Mytilus edulis: one gene and its partner. The protein of the gene in region 2 binds, or shares a complex with, the protein of the main gene of each other region. Links are inferred from orthologs where the notes say so. Each region holds a gene or a part of one and is shown on either strand. Other genes may lie near its edges.

Region 1 (7,658 bases), on a different chromosome or scaffold from region 2:
GACCGACACCAATTTTGTTGTCAATGAAGAAAATACACTTCTAAAAAGAATATCTATATTTAGAAATAAAGATGAAGTTTGATGGTGGTAAAACAAGTTAAATTATCAATAATCTCTTTATAGAGCAAAGGAGTTAGTAAATGTTATCAGTTCTGTTCATGCGTGTAACATTGACAGAAAGTAAAAGGTTGTATGTCAATGTTACATACATGAAGACCAGAAGATGAAAGTGGTGTGCTTAATAGTCAACTTTGGAAAAATAATATAATTGCTGCCCAGTAATATCTAATTAATCATTTAGGTTATAAAATGTTATATAAATTTCTGACTTTAAGGAAGTAATACCTTTGCATGTAACATAAAAAAATCTTGACACAAAATATTGTTGTCAATGTTACTAGCTAGTGTTAAAAGACAAATTAAACAGGAAAACATGAAAACGCTTTAATTTTGTAAAATAAAAATAAGATAATAGCTCCATATGGCAGTAAGTTGTGTGTACGCATGTAACAATGGCCTGAACATGTAAAAGTCTAAATAATAGACTCTGTCAATGTTACATACACATGCAATTTCTTAATGAAAAAAAAGTTTAATTTGGGTTTACTTTATACATTATTTTTTAAAATAAGTATCATAATAATAACTTTGAATATAAAAAATTAGATTAACTGTTGATTTCAACACAGTAAAATCTTCTCATGTAACACAAAAAAGACCTGATACAAAAATCGTAGTCCATGTTACTCATAAAGTTATCATAGGAGCATCAAAGAAATTGTGTGATGACAATATTTCAGATGTTAGTCATTTATAAACTCAGATAAACTCATTTTAAAGCTCATAACAGAGGTTTGGAAATCAATGCGTTTAAAACATTATAATTCTGGGTTATGTATGTAACATTGACAGGAACACCAACAAATGATGAGGAAAAAATGCTAGTCAATCAGGAAAAAAATAAACACAAATAATTGAAACTCATTTATTTCTTTAATATCATTTTAATGAAGCAAATTTAAATTTCAACAAGATTTTATTGATTGAATAATTGTATGCACATTTATTAGGTTGTAGCATGTAACCTGGACACAGAAGATGTGTCAATGTTACATGCCTTTAAACGATAAGAATTACAAGTAAATATTGTAAAGTCTAGAAATCAAGAAAGATCAACAACTTCTCTGTTAAGAATTCAGCTTAAATTTACATTTGATTTAATATTATGCACTGGCCAATTATGCTTTAAGTGTAATAAAGTAATATTGTTTTTATTCTGGTGTCAATGTTACATTTTATGTTTTCAAATTAAGTGGCCAGTTATCTTTATAATGCTGAGAATGAATACAAGTACTAGTTAATCAAATTGGCAATTAATCTGTGGTATTACATGTAAAAAATTAGATTGATAAGGCAAACCGTACAAAAAAAAGCTTTTGCATGTATCATAGACACCTTTCCTTGGTAAATATTTTCGTGTCAATGTTATGTACAGAAATCTCTCCAGCAATAAAATGAATATCGTAAGGGTCAAACCTGTTAAAATACAAGATAAACTTATATTTTTTGACAAAATTGCAAAGCAAGTCACACATTATTATCAAAGAACCTAATTTACACAAAAAGTGCATGTAACACTTCATTGTGAGGTCAAATTAACCTGGTCCCACTCTCTTATCATCTGCTTGATCACTGGTAGATGCCAAGTGTGAAAGATGACAAAGCCACATTTTAATGTAATTGTCAGTGGGTTGAAATGTGAAAAAAATAATTATGTTAATGCTTACTATAAAAAGTATACAACTGTTATAAAAAGATAAGTATTATTGGGCAGTATTGACACGAAAATGAAATAAATTTTCGTACCTTCTATATTTTTCAAACTTCAGTTGATTGATAAAAATCATGAAATCCAAATTGTAACCATTGTTGACACCTTTCAAAATTTGCCATGCTGGACCAATAACTTGTTTCCAAAGCTAATCAGCTAATGAAAAGGTGCATGTAACATTTGTTGACGGGAAAAGTTACATGCACTTGTCCATTTTCAAACGTATTTTATTTGCAGCAATAATCGGATTCTGTACAAAATGGGGTTTCTAAATGATAGACCGATCATTTTGCAGTTGATTTTCAACTATTATAGTAGAACAATTCTTCAGGCATATTCTAAATATGACTAGGGGTTTTGCCACTGCAGAAATGTCACACTTTTTGTCTACAGTTTTCAACTGCCAGCACATAACAAGTGCTGATTTTTTGTTGATTTTTTTAATTGGAACCATTTTTTTTGCATGTGGCAATAAAGACTAACCCACTTTGATATTTAAACAATGTTTATTCTCCATATTTGCATGATTTCTTTATTTTTTAATTGGATAAACACTATTGACCCTAAAATTTCACTAGCAAATTCCTGCCCATATACCAACCAAGATTTAACAGCATTTAATCATTCTGACAATTGCAGGTATATGTAGCTAAATATGTATGTACACATTGATATAACTGTGCTACATTGTAACATCATATAAGGAATACTTTGTAACGTTGTACTTTGCAAGCTTATAATGTTATGATAAATGTTTAAACAATTTGACATGACTTAAAGTATTTATTGGCTAATAATTGTGAAGAAGGAGAAAACATGACATTTCTTTGAAGTGGGAGATTTGAACTCTTCTGCTACCAATAATAAGGAACTATCAGAAAATTTCCAAATTCTGAAGAACAATGAAGAAAAAAGTATTGGATGGTTATCTTTAGCTTGATGAAGAATGAGGGTTGACTGCTACATCATGTACATGTACATGTATAATTTTCATGGTATAAAACTTATATATGGATCATCTTGAACAAATTATATCCAAATAAGTCAAGATCTTGTGATCAGCCCCATCAAACTCACCTCCTCTAAATCCACCTCCACGACCACCGCCAAATCCTCTTCCTCCTCCTCGGCCTCCACCCCTACCACCACCTCTTTCAAATCCCATAATGCTAAAACCTTGAAACAGCAAATATATAAAAATTATCACCAATGTTCCATGAGGTTGTTTATTCAGTTTGTTTTCTAAGTAGTATAATAATCAACAGTCAGGGGACTTTATACTTAAATGAATGATTTTCTAAATCACCGATTCAAAAAACATTTCAGTGTTCTCCCCAGGACGTTTTAGCATCGCGGTACCGTGACGCTATATTTTCTTCCCGTGACGCTATAATAATTTCCGTGACGCTATAATTATTTTTAGGATGTTATTTTTCTCGTTTCTATATGGCAAAGCCATGTCCTAAATTTTGAACTTTCATCTAATTACCGCTTATGATCATAAAAAATATATCACCTTTAATCCCTTCATGTCGGACAATAGACAAATAAGAGTGAATAAATAGGAGTTAATTGCCTTTGGGGGATAACTGTTTGGATTGGAATACCCTAAGCTGTCACTTGTGACATGATTAATACCACGTGGTCTGCAAAATATTACAGTAGTATATACTTTCTTCCTCTTCCTATCACTTTTTGTAAATCGAGAGTGAAAATTTTGATTATGAGCTAAATAAGTTTTGGTCTTTCTTTAGAAAGTGATCAATATTGGCTTTAGTTTATGCTTCATCCATTTAATGCATTAAAAACGCCATATTCATTCCAAATCTCTTGTCAAACATTGTTTATTTTTGTATTTTTCATTGCTTTCAACGGCCATTTAATATTTTAGTGTAAACTAATGATGTGAACCAGACCAGATATGACAAAAATCCGTATTTTACAATAATAACTACATTTGCACAAATGGCACAGTAAACATGGTAAACAGAAAACAATGATACCTAAAGAGAAAACTAAGCACAAACAGACTATTTGTCAGATAACTTTGTTAAGAATATATATCATTTTGATAAAAAGAAACAACTGGGACTGATTCATTGAATACCATGAGCCAATATATTTCATAGACATGATAAAGATTTTTTTTTAACTGGGTAGTTCATGTAGGTAGGGTAACTAGAACCACACATATTTTTTTCATTTGGCCCAAGAGGAAAAATAATTCTGGAACTATAAATGAATATATAGAAAACATAAACTGAAAATACTGTTATCATGGTTATACTTTAATTGTATTCTCAGTCATGAATTCAACAATATTGACACAAAGAATAGGGTTGAATAGAATATTTTATTCACCAAATAAGGACCTATAGCATACAAACAATATAATACATTTTGTAATAAACAATAAAGCATATATATCATAATGGAAATAGAGCATTGCCACGATGCGACAAATTACATTGAAAAAAATACATTTTTTTTTACGCCAAATGTGATGCTATCCAAAATTTCTGGGGAGAACACTGCATTATGTCCAAAAAGATTGGAAGGTAGAGTTGTCTTTCTTAACTAAACGCCTGTTTAAATCAACATGGTTAATAAATATTGAAACATACATTAAATTGTCTTTTTAAATATAGTTATATACCAGAAACAAGTGAAAAAAACATTTTTTTTTATATTATCAAGGATATATAATTTAAGATAATATACATGTACCATAATAAAATTGAGAAAGGAAATGGTGAATATGTCAAAGCGACAACCACCCGACCATAGAGCAAACAACAGCCGAAGGCAACCAATGGGTCTTCAATGTAGCGAGAATTCCCGCACCCGTAGGTGTCCTTCAGCTGGCCCCTAAAATATGCATAATAGTACAGTGATAATGGACGTCATACTAAACTCCGAATTATACACAAGAAACTAAAAATTAAAATCATACAAGACTAACAAAGGCCAGAGGCTCCTGACTTGGGACAGGCGCAAAATTGCGGCGGGGTTAAACATGTTTATGAGATCTCAACCCTCCCCCTATACCTCTAGCCAATGTAGAAAAGTAAAAGAATAACAATACGCACATTAAAATTCAGTTCAAGAGAAGTCCGAGTCTGATGTCAAAAGATGTAACAAAAGAAAATAAATAAAATGACAATAATACATAAATAACAACAGACTACTAGCAGTTAACTGACATGCCAGCTCCAGACCTCAATTAAACTGATTGAAAGATTATGTCTTCATCATATGAATATCAGGTACAATCCCTCCCGTTAGGGGTTTAGTATCATACTATCATAAAATATATGAGAAGAACATAACCCGTGTCATGCCAACAACTGTTTTTTTAGAAATAAATGTGTTTAGTTCCGATGCAAAGACCCTATCAGTGAATCAATGTTAAAGCCAAAATATGCAATCTTTAATGACCTGACAACAGTATCGTAACTATATCCCCTTTTAATAAGTCTATTTAAAGGTTTTGTTAGTTTCTGAGGAGAATACTGACATTTTTGTGCTTTATAAAGAATATTTCCATAAAATTTTGGATGTGAAATACCTGAACGTATAAGATGTCTGCATGTTGAGTTATATTTACGAATTATTTCCTTATACCGGTGATAAAATTTAGTAAATGTTTTGACCAGTTTGTGATATCGAAAACCCTGGTGTAATAATTTTTCAGTAATACATAAATTTCTCTCGCTAAAATCTAATACATTGTTACATACACGAGCGAATCGTACAAGTTGAGATATATAAACACCATAAGATGGTGACAAGGGAACGTCACCATCTAAAAATGGATAATTAACAATAGGAAATGAAAAATCATCTCTTTTATCATAAACTTTTGTATTAAGCTTCCCGTTTATGATATAGATATCAAGATCGAGGAAAGGGCAGTGGTCATTGTTAGCATTAGCTTTGTTTAAAGTAAGTTCTACAGGATAAATTTCTTTAGTATACATACTGAAGTCGTCATTATTTAGAGCCAATATATCATCCAAATATCTAAAAGTATTGTTAAATTTTTCTATCAAATGTTGTTTTGATGGGTACCATGTATACCTTCAGTTTACAGCATGGTTAACAAATGGTTAATATCAAAGATTCAAAAACAAATTATAACATAATATAATCTTGACTTATTTCACACTCAAAAGGTCAAAATACATTTGTTGCTAAAAAAAATCTTAAAGACTGACAAACACCATGAACACACTGAAATATGGTGGGACATCAACATCGTACTTATGAGAAATAGTGCACCATATGAGGAATATTCAGTACAAGAGAGACATGTCATCATGGTCATGTTAATCAGTCAGGGGACTAACTGAAATAAGTGATTTTTAAATCACTTTGGTGATTTTTAAATCACTTTGTGTAGCAAATTCGAAGTTTTGTCACAAATTGTGATTTTGTAGTTTTACCAAAATTTTAAACACATAGGTTTAAATAATATCTTTTTATTAGTAAAATTGAAAAAAATGAATTTTTTGCTTGTTTTAAGTATCAAGGTTTATGCCTTTGATGCTATCATTTAGCTGCAATTCTATTTCAGTTGAAAAAAATGCTATAATAATGGCTTTACATAAGGCCACAATTAAAAATATTTCAGTTTGCCCAAACCCGACCCATGATGACTGGGTGTGGGTAGGTAGGTAGGCAAATTCTTTTTTTTTTTTTTTTTTTATCAGAATTTGCATGAAAATATTAAAAGATCTTAAAACAGTATATCTTTTTTTTTTCGTCAAACCTTTGTAGAGAAAACCAAAAGCCATGAATTTAAAACCTCTATAAATAAATTAGTCTACTATATGATTTGTATCCTGAGATGTTTATAACACTGACAATTGCTAGCTGTGTGAAAGGGCTGGTGGATTTATGAAGTGATTTTCAACAGTTCCATCAACACGATGTTTTTGTAAAAAAAATATCAGCTGATTATGTAATGATTAAATTTGTTTGCAGTTTTTAAATCCTATTTCTATTAAAATATTTATATGAATTATTATCTACCATCCTTAGTTTGTGTCTTGTTTATGTTTTGAAAACAAATTTGTATTTACATTATCACACAGGTAAACTAATTTGGCTATACCGGTAAATAGATCAAAGCATGTTCTGTAGAATCTCCAAACTAAAAACGTATTTGTTATAATTTTATTTCTTTAAATAATCAAGTTTAAATTTTTGAAAATAATCATTATTGATAAAATATAATTGCATAAAGTTAACGTTTTCTGAAGACTATTTATTTTTAGGTCATGGTTCTAGAGGCTTCCTCACAAATTTGTAGAAAAATCCAATATGGCGTCCATAACATGTTTTTACTTTTGCACATGTGAAAAAAATATTTCTGTCAAAAGTCAGATTTCTCTTGTCAAAAGGGATTTATATTGCAATAAATTATTCAGAGGGAGTTACATTCAGTTAAGATTATATTTCTGATTCTGTGAACAATTATAGTTTTATCAAATTCTCCCAAACAGCAACGTACTGATCTTGTCTAATGAGACTTGTAAATTTGAACTATTTGAATAAAAGGGCATCTAATTTACATGATAAAGAAAGATTATAATTAAAGACAACAATTTATCAAGAAATAATTCTTTTTTATTCAGTAAAAACAAAATCTTCTTGCAAGATTGTAAATTCGCAACTTTTCCGGATCCATTTCCTGTCAGAATAACATTGAAAATATTCGATTGCACATGGTTTTGAACAAATCTACCTGAATATTCTTATCAGATATTCGATAACACGATGAAATTAACATTGAGCATATAGGTAAGGGTTTGGTAGTACAGAC
Region 2 (7,470 bases):
ATTACTCCTGTCAAATAGAGCATTGTGCATAAGCCACCTTGGAATTGTGTTACTCTAAATTGTTTTATGAAATCAGAAAAGCAAAATAATTTTTGTATTTGTTATTCATAAAAATTTGATAACAAAGTTAATCCTTTTCGGAAATAAATGAATGGATAAGAAGATTACAGGTACAAGCAAAATTCTTAACAGCCATTGGCTCTTTGGTTGAGTTGTTTTTCGACACTTTCACTATTTCTACTCTCAATTTTATTATCATACAAAGGATATCTTAAATAGAGTAGATTCAAACTGAATCTTTCACTATGACTCTCAAGTTATACACAGGTAACAGTTTTAAACTGCAGTCTACTATATTTTATTGTTAAATGTTTTTCTTCAAGCAATATTTTCAGTTTTTTAGTTGACATATTTTAGAAAATCAAGGAATCATTAAAATAATCTTCTCTCGTGCAAACATTTACTCAAAGAACGAGAATCATTAAGAATACCTCATTAATAGCCTAATGATAGGTAATGCATGCATGTTTTCTTTAAAACGTACAAGTTAAAAGTCCAAAATTAAACTGTTTACAGTGGGCATATTGGGTACTAGCATCTTCAACTCACCCTTCAAGGTACCAGTATAAAAGTTTCCAGTGTCAATATCAAGTGGTCTCTCCACTCCATTACTGCTTACCACAGCTTTGAAATCATCAGACACAACTTTAGTTTGCTTCACATACAAATGAAAATTTCTGAAGCAAAAAAAAAATTTTTGTTCACCATTTGTACACACGAGTCACAAAAATCAAATGTTCTAAATAATTATTTTGATATATTTCCTTGTTATGATTTTTTTTAAGTTGCAGAGTGATTAGGTATTACGTTATCAGTTTATAGTGATATATATGATTTAAAAATTTAAAACTTCTGAATAATGTATGAAGCCTATCATGAAGAACCTCACTGTAACTCTAAAATACATTGTTTCTAATTTTGTCATGGCAGGGCTTTTATTGGTGACCATACAGTATGGGTCTATGTTGAAGGTTATAAGGTGACCTTAAGTTGTTCACATCAATGTCATTTGGAATTTATTAAATAATTGTCTCATTGGCAATCATAGTCATGATAGTAATAGCATATCACCTTATTCCTTTTTATAAGTGGTACATGTAAGTGTACCAAACTTGAATTTTTCACCTAATGTTTGCGTTATATATTACCATGATTACAGATAGGATATATTATTTCTTTTTACTGCTCACTGAAATTCAATATTTTTTATCTTATTTGTCAGATACCACTTTTGTCTGTATAATTTCTAACATTATTACAAATATTTTTTTTGAGTGTTGTTGTTTTTATTGTCGACATAAATATTTGTTTAGTAAATGAGAAATAAATTGCCATACATTTTATATCAATATAAATGGACAACAGTTCTTGTGGATTGAGTGGGGAAAATGTACTTTTATAGATACTTAATTCAAAGGCTTTGATGAATCTAAAAAATAGTATATTGTAAATTTCAACTCATAAATTTGTGGTTCAGGTTAATCATACACTAAAAAATTAATGACAAATCCACAGACTTTACAACATATGTACAAAACAAAACCATACCTCCCTAAAGATGAGAACCAAATTTCATGCAGGTGAGAACTTGGGTGTGGATCCACACTTCGTCTTACACGCTTATTTATATCAACTGTCTTCAGGGTCTCAAAATAGTCCAAATTACTTGATATATCAGCTGAAAAAGAAGATATAAAGTCCATTCCCAATGTGAGTTTGATTTGAAAAAATTAGGAAAAAAAATCCGAAATTTTAATGTACAAAAATCAAATTTTAACACCTAAAAGAAAATAAAAAGAGGGTGCAATGCCTCAACAATACTCAAGGGCCTGTGAATGGGTGACCAGTTGACTTTTTGTTAAACAGATCATTTAGATATTTCTATATTTTATTTTAAAGTCTAAGTTGACATAAAAGTCAATAATGACACAAGGTAAAATGCTTTTTCTATAATTTCAACTTGTGACTAAAATTGATTTTATCTTATCAAATTATTAAACCCCTTTTTGGTTTTATAAAACGAAGAATAATTGACCAGGGTTTTCAAGAACATGCAGAGCAAATATTTCAGCATCTCCAAAATTAGTTTTTCCAGAGTGTTTACATCATACCTGTCAACTGACCCGGATTCTGCGGGTGTGACCCGAGATTTTCACAATTCTGAGGGATCACCCGGATCACCCGCCGGTAAACTTTACATTAGAATGAACTTGCAGATTGTGTTGATGCTTTAAGAAATAGATCAGATGTAATAAGCATTGGGTATAAGTTTCATAACATTTGGTTGAGGCAACTAAAGTTTAAGAACAGAAACTAAACATTTTGCATTTTTTCCCATTTATAAAGGTGCATAACTCGAGAATGGTTAAAGTGACCCCACCATAATTCAAACTTGATCTGTATTTTGTGGTAATAAGCATTGTGTATAAGTTTAATAATATTTGGTTGAGCGAACTTAAGTTAAAGAACGAAAACTAAAATTTTTGTAATTTTTCCATTTAAAACAGGGTATAACTTCAGAACCATACACCTCATCGTTATTTCTGGCTGAATGGAGAATCTGTCCCATTTGAACTATTGACGTCAAACAACAATTACTTTTCCATTTGCATGTACATGATAGCGCCATAGTACCGGGATATTCCACTCTGGCACCGAAGTCTTTCCCGTACCAGGAAGTATCAGGTTCGTTCACGCCCAATACACTTTCGCACCCTACACGTTATCACCTCGCACTTTCGCACCCAAGGTCCGTTCACACTCTACATGTTTGCGCCCGATTTTTATTCAAATTCCAGTTGAATAATTGGAAAATCATGATTGTTGTTATAAATTGCTTTGGTGTAAATAAAACATTCAAGATTTTAAATGAAAACACAAAAGATAATTGTTTTTAACAGCTTGGTCCCTTTAATCTGAAACAATAAAATAAAGCGATACACTATTATAACCAAAACATGATAAAATTTATTCAACACACACAAAAAAACGTAGTCAGAATCACACTTTATTTTGAAACAAGTCAATGAAACAAAGTTACATGTATAGCAATACACTAACCAAAACATGATTAAGAGTTATTCAACACAAAATAAAACGTTGACAGAATCCCACTTTATTTAGAAAGGATTATTTTTTTTTTTAACAATACACTATCCAAAACATGACTAAGATTTATTCAACACAAAAAAAAATGCTGTCTCACTTTATTTTGAATCAATGACAACAAATATAAGAACACACTTGCCAAAACTTGATTACAAAGATATAGTTATTAAACACAAAACCAATTAAAATTGGGCGCGAACATGTAGGGTGCGAAAGTGAAAGGGGGCGAACATGAGTGGGTGCGAATGTGAATCAGCGCGAAAGGACCTAGATTCGTACTACGATTGAAGAAGAAAAAGGGATATCCTTCCCATTGCATTTGGAGATTTTGAAAGTTGCTTTTTTTATACAGGTTGGGAACAAACCCCCTGTATGGTGATTATACCTCTATAGAGGGATAATCCTTCTATAGAGGGGTAAAATTATCCCTCTATAGAGGGGTATTTTTGTTTAGACTGAATTTAAATCAAAATAGGGCAGAATGGCATTCTCTACTTATTATGGCAGTAACCTGGAACAGTTGATGCACCAATTGATGTACTTAATTAAATATGCACATGCCCAGTTTGATGCTTATCTGACTAAATATAAAATCTATTGTTCACCATGATTGAAAGCTGTGATGATCAGGTAAATTCTACTCACTTATGCCTCACTGAACAGAATTTCTATTGTTAGATTTAAAATGAAATTTAAAGGTCAACTATTCCCTTTGTTGTTGATCAGGTGTTCAAATAGGTTTACAATAGATTGCATGTTTTGTCACTTTAGCAGAAAACTGGTTATCCCAATTTTTAGTAAAGTGCATATGTTGATGCATATAATGCTAGAGATTAGAGCCAATATAACTAGAAAATGCCATTCTGCCCTAATTTGCTTTAAATCCAGTGCAAACAAAAATAACCCTCTATAGAGGGATAATTTTACCCCTCTATAGAAGGATTATTCCTCTATAGAGGTATAATCCCCATACAGGGGGTTTGTTCCCAACCTGTTATAGTTCAATAGTTGGCACCTTTTATATGTGTTATGGAAATTACCAACATGGATAGTTGTTTTTCTGAAAAATCTTCCCTTCAAGATGGAAGAAATGTATTTTGTGTGTATATTCAATAATTACCTCTACTCGAAAATACACAAAAAGAAGAAATAATGATAACCGAAAGTAGTTTTTCCATCACAGCCTATATTATCTGGTACCTTGTATACAATTTTGTGTGGTGTAAAGAAACCAGTTCAAAGTCTGGATCGCCCGTGTGATTTTAGATTGCAGTATTTTCATCAATGTTAAAAGCTATTTTTATCACTTTAGCACGTGGAGGGACCAAAAATACAAAACAAACTCTAAAAAGCACGCTGTGAAATGGGAAAATCAAGCAAAGAAAAACGAAGATCTGAGGTAGAGGATGAAGCAGGGGACGGAGGTGACAGTAAAGAAATATGGCAAGAGAAAATCAAGTACCAGAGTTCTATTTCCCAGCCGTTAGCCCCAAGAAAATTGACAAAAAGAATTTACAAAGCTGTTAAGAAAGGTACATGTACATGTAGCTAAGAATGAGATTGTTTAAATGTTATTCTCTGTTGTTTCTGTGCTTAATGAATGACTTATGTTCATAATAGAGCTTTCTTTAATAAAATATTTTGTAATGCCGACTACTGGTTCATCATAAATTATAAATGGACAAAAGTGGCTGTGTTAGACCTCACAAATTGTCTACCCTTTGAGTACAGACTAAACTGTCCCGTTGGAAAAGACTATCAACTGGCAGTAGATCATACCCGTAGCCCGAAACCCCCCCCCCCCCCTTGAAATCAAATAAGCACTTTTAAAGCCAACGTTTTGTTCAAATTGTGACTTAAAGTCGAGTTCACAAGTCCAATGAACCCCCCCTTGGAAATTCCTGGCTACAGGCCTGTAGATGATAACAATGTTAATATGACCTCACACTCTATTATTATGCAGAAGTTATAAGAGGGGCGGAAAGGGACACAGGCACTTGTTTCTATCCATACGAAGGTCGACTATCCATATCTATTTATATGGATAGTCGACCTTCGTATGGATAGAAACAAGTGCCTGTGGAAAGGGAGGGTATCTGCACGGAAGAACGCAAAATAAAATTGCCATTTCATGACAAGCGAACAATTAAAAATTTCCTGCTCGTTGATCTTTTTAACAAATTTCACAAAACACAGTGAATAATGAACCTTTTTCATGGCTGCACGTGAAATAAAAATGGCAAAACACGTTGCACAAAAATAACCCTTTACCACCCTCTTATAATTGCCCTGTATTACATGGTGGGAAGTTTCCCATGCTGGAATAAAACTTCAACACATCAAAAAAATCTAAAATCACTGGGTTTTCTAAAACAAAATTTAAAAACAACATATCCACACATAAAATCCCAGGCATACCAAGCACTCGTCAGACTCAAACTTGAAAATTCCTGTTCTGTTTGGGACCCTCACACAACCAAGTCTGTATCCAAAATTGAGATGGTCCAACGACGAGCTGCACGGTATGACTGCAATAAATACCATAATACAAGTAGTGTTACAAACATGCTTACGACACTTAACTTACCATCATTAGCAGAACGCAGACCGCATAAGATTGGTAATGATGTACAAAATATAATATCATCTTGTTGCTATTCCATCAGTCATACTCATAAAAGCAGACTCAAGAACAAAAAAAAATGTACACTCTCATATAGGCATATTCTTACATCGAAAGACTCCTACAGACATTCATACTTTCCTTACACAATACCACAGTGGAACCAGCTCCTTGTGGTACTAGTTCAGGCACCATCCATTAATAGCTTCAAAGAACAGCTCACTTCAGCTGTTTTCTGTTCTATTAATTAAAAGTATCAATTTAAATTGTACATAGTTTTAATCACAAATTTAACATTTCATTGCACTTTAATTATATTTCGTTTAAATTAGGGTAAACATGTTGACCACATCTTCCTATATCTATGTAAATAGTCCACGTATGCGAACAGTATGTAATCATCGAAATCAATGAAATATTGTATACCTACAGAAGAAGAAGAAGAAAGTTTATGGAATTTGAAATAGTGAAAATTTTCAGTAAGTTACTAGCTTTAGTTATGTTGCTGTTACAAATCAGTTTGATATGACTATTTCTTTCATGTACTTTTATGTTTTCAGCTTCAAAACAGAAACAATTAAGAAAAGGTGTGAGAGAAGTGCAAAAATTTATTAGAAAAGGAGAAAAGGGGTGAGTACATTTTTGTACATCTGACTTCACAAAAAGTACATGTAGGAAGTTTTTGTTGGACTTGTCAACCAGGAAATGTTAAAATCACTCCTGTTTATCTGACATCACAAAAAGTACAAGTAGGAAATTTTAGGCCACTGCTTACAAAATCATGACTGAGAGCATCACTCATGCAAATACTTTATTATGAATTTTATACCATCTGCTCATCACTCATAGACCACTTATACTCATCATTCATTATATTTATGGCTGTTTACTTCATTGTTTTTATTGTAATAAACAATTTTATTCATATTTTTGTTAAAACAAGGCAATTGTGCCTAACATATATATTACTGAATTCAGGTTAATGTTGTAGAAATCTATTTGTAAGGATATTACCAGAACAAAGGTTATCTGTAAAAAGTAAAGAAACTTGAGAGTTAGCACTCAAATTTAGGCAGTGGGGCAACAGGACATTAATACTTTTAAAAAGTAGGCCTAAGAATGAAGACAAATACTTTTTAAATGACTAATAAGAATTTGTTATTAACTCATACATTCCCTTTAACACAATGGACAACACATATTAACATGACTAATGAGATTTTCTTTTTTACTAGGATTGTTATATTAGCTGGTGATGTAAGCCCAGTTGATGTTATTTGTCACATGCCTTTGGTTTGTGAAGAGGAGGGACTACCATACTGTTACACACCATCAAAAGAGGTATGACTACATTTATGTTGTTGTTTGAAATTTTTAATGCTACAGGTTATGCATCATACCATGATGTATTGGTACATGTCTCTCAAAAAAGAAATTTATCAGTACATGAAAATTCTCTACACTATCTAAAACATTTACCAAATGTAAGACTTGAAATGAAATATTAAAGTTTTTTCCTTTCAAGACGAAGGTTAGACAAAATGATGACAACCGAAACTAGTCAACCGTTGGAAATATAATAACACAGAAACTATGTCAAAAACACAAAACACAAAAAACTTTTTCCAGAAAACAACCACTATCTGACTTTTGGAAGGAATTTAGATTCTACTGGAGGG

The links.
Region 1: H/ACA ribonucleoprotein complex subunit 2-like protein (region 2) and H/ACA ribonucleoprotein complex subunit 1-like share a complex: the UniProt entries of both Homo sapiens proteins name them as parts of the H/ACA small nucleolar ribonucleoprotein (H/ACA snoRNP) complex. The link is inferred for Mytilus edulis from reciprocal best matches to the Homo sapiens genes NHP2 and GAR1.

What each region holds. Positions count from the first base shown.
Region 1 is NC_092352.1:81,859,440-81,867,097, forward strand, and holds the start of H/ACA ribonucleoprotein complex subunit 1-like, read right to left. Parts: upstream 3,007-7,658; 5' UTR 2,997-3,006; coding exon 2,909-2,996; intron 1-2,908. UniProt on the Homo sapiens protein: Required for ribosome biogenesis and telomere maintenance. Part of the H/ACA small nucleolar ribonucleoprotein (H/ACA snoRNP) complex, which catalyzes pseudouridylation of rRNA.
Region 2 is NC_092347.1:73,995,275-74,002,744, forward strand, and holds the start of H/ACA ribonucleoprotein complex subunit 2-like protein, read left to right. Parts: upstream 1-4,454; 5' UTR 4,455-4,531; coding exon 4,532-4,700; intron 4,701-6,351; coding exon 6,352-6,421; intron 6,422-7,026; coding exon 7,027-7,132; intron 7,133-7,470. Other genes in the region: ADAM 17-like protease, read right to left, coding at 610-737, 1,609-1,738, 4,289-4,346. UniProt on the Homo sapiens protein: Required for ribosome biogenesis and telomere maintenance. Part of the H/ACA small nucleolar ribonucleoprotein (H/ACA snoRNP) complex, which catalyzes pseudouridylation of rRNA.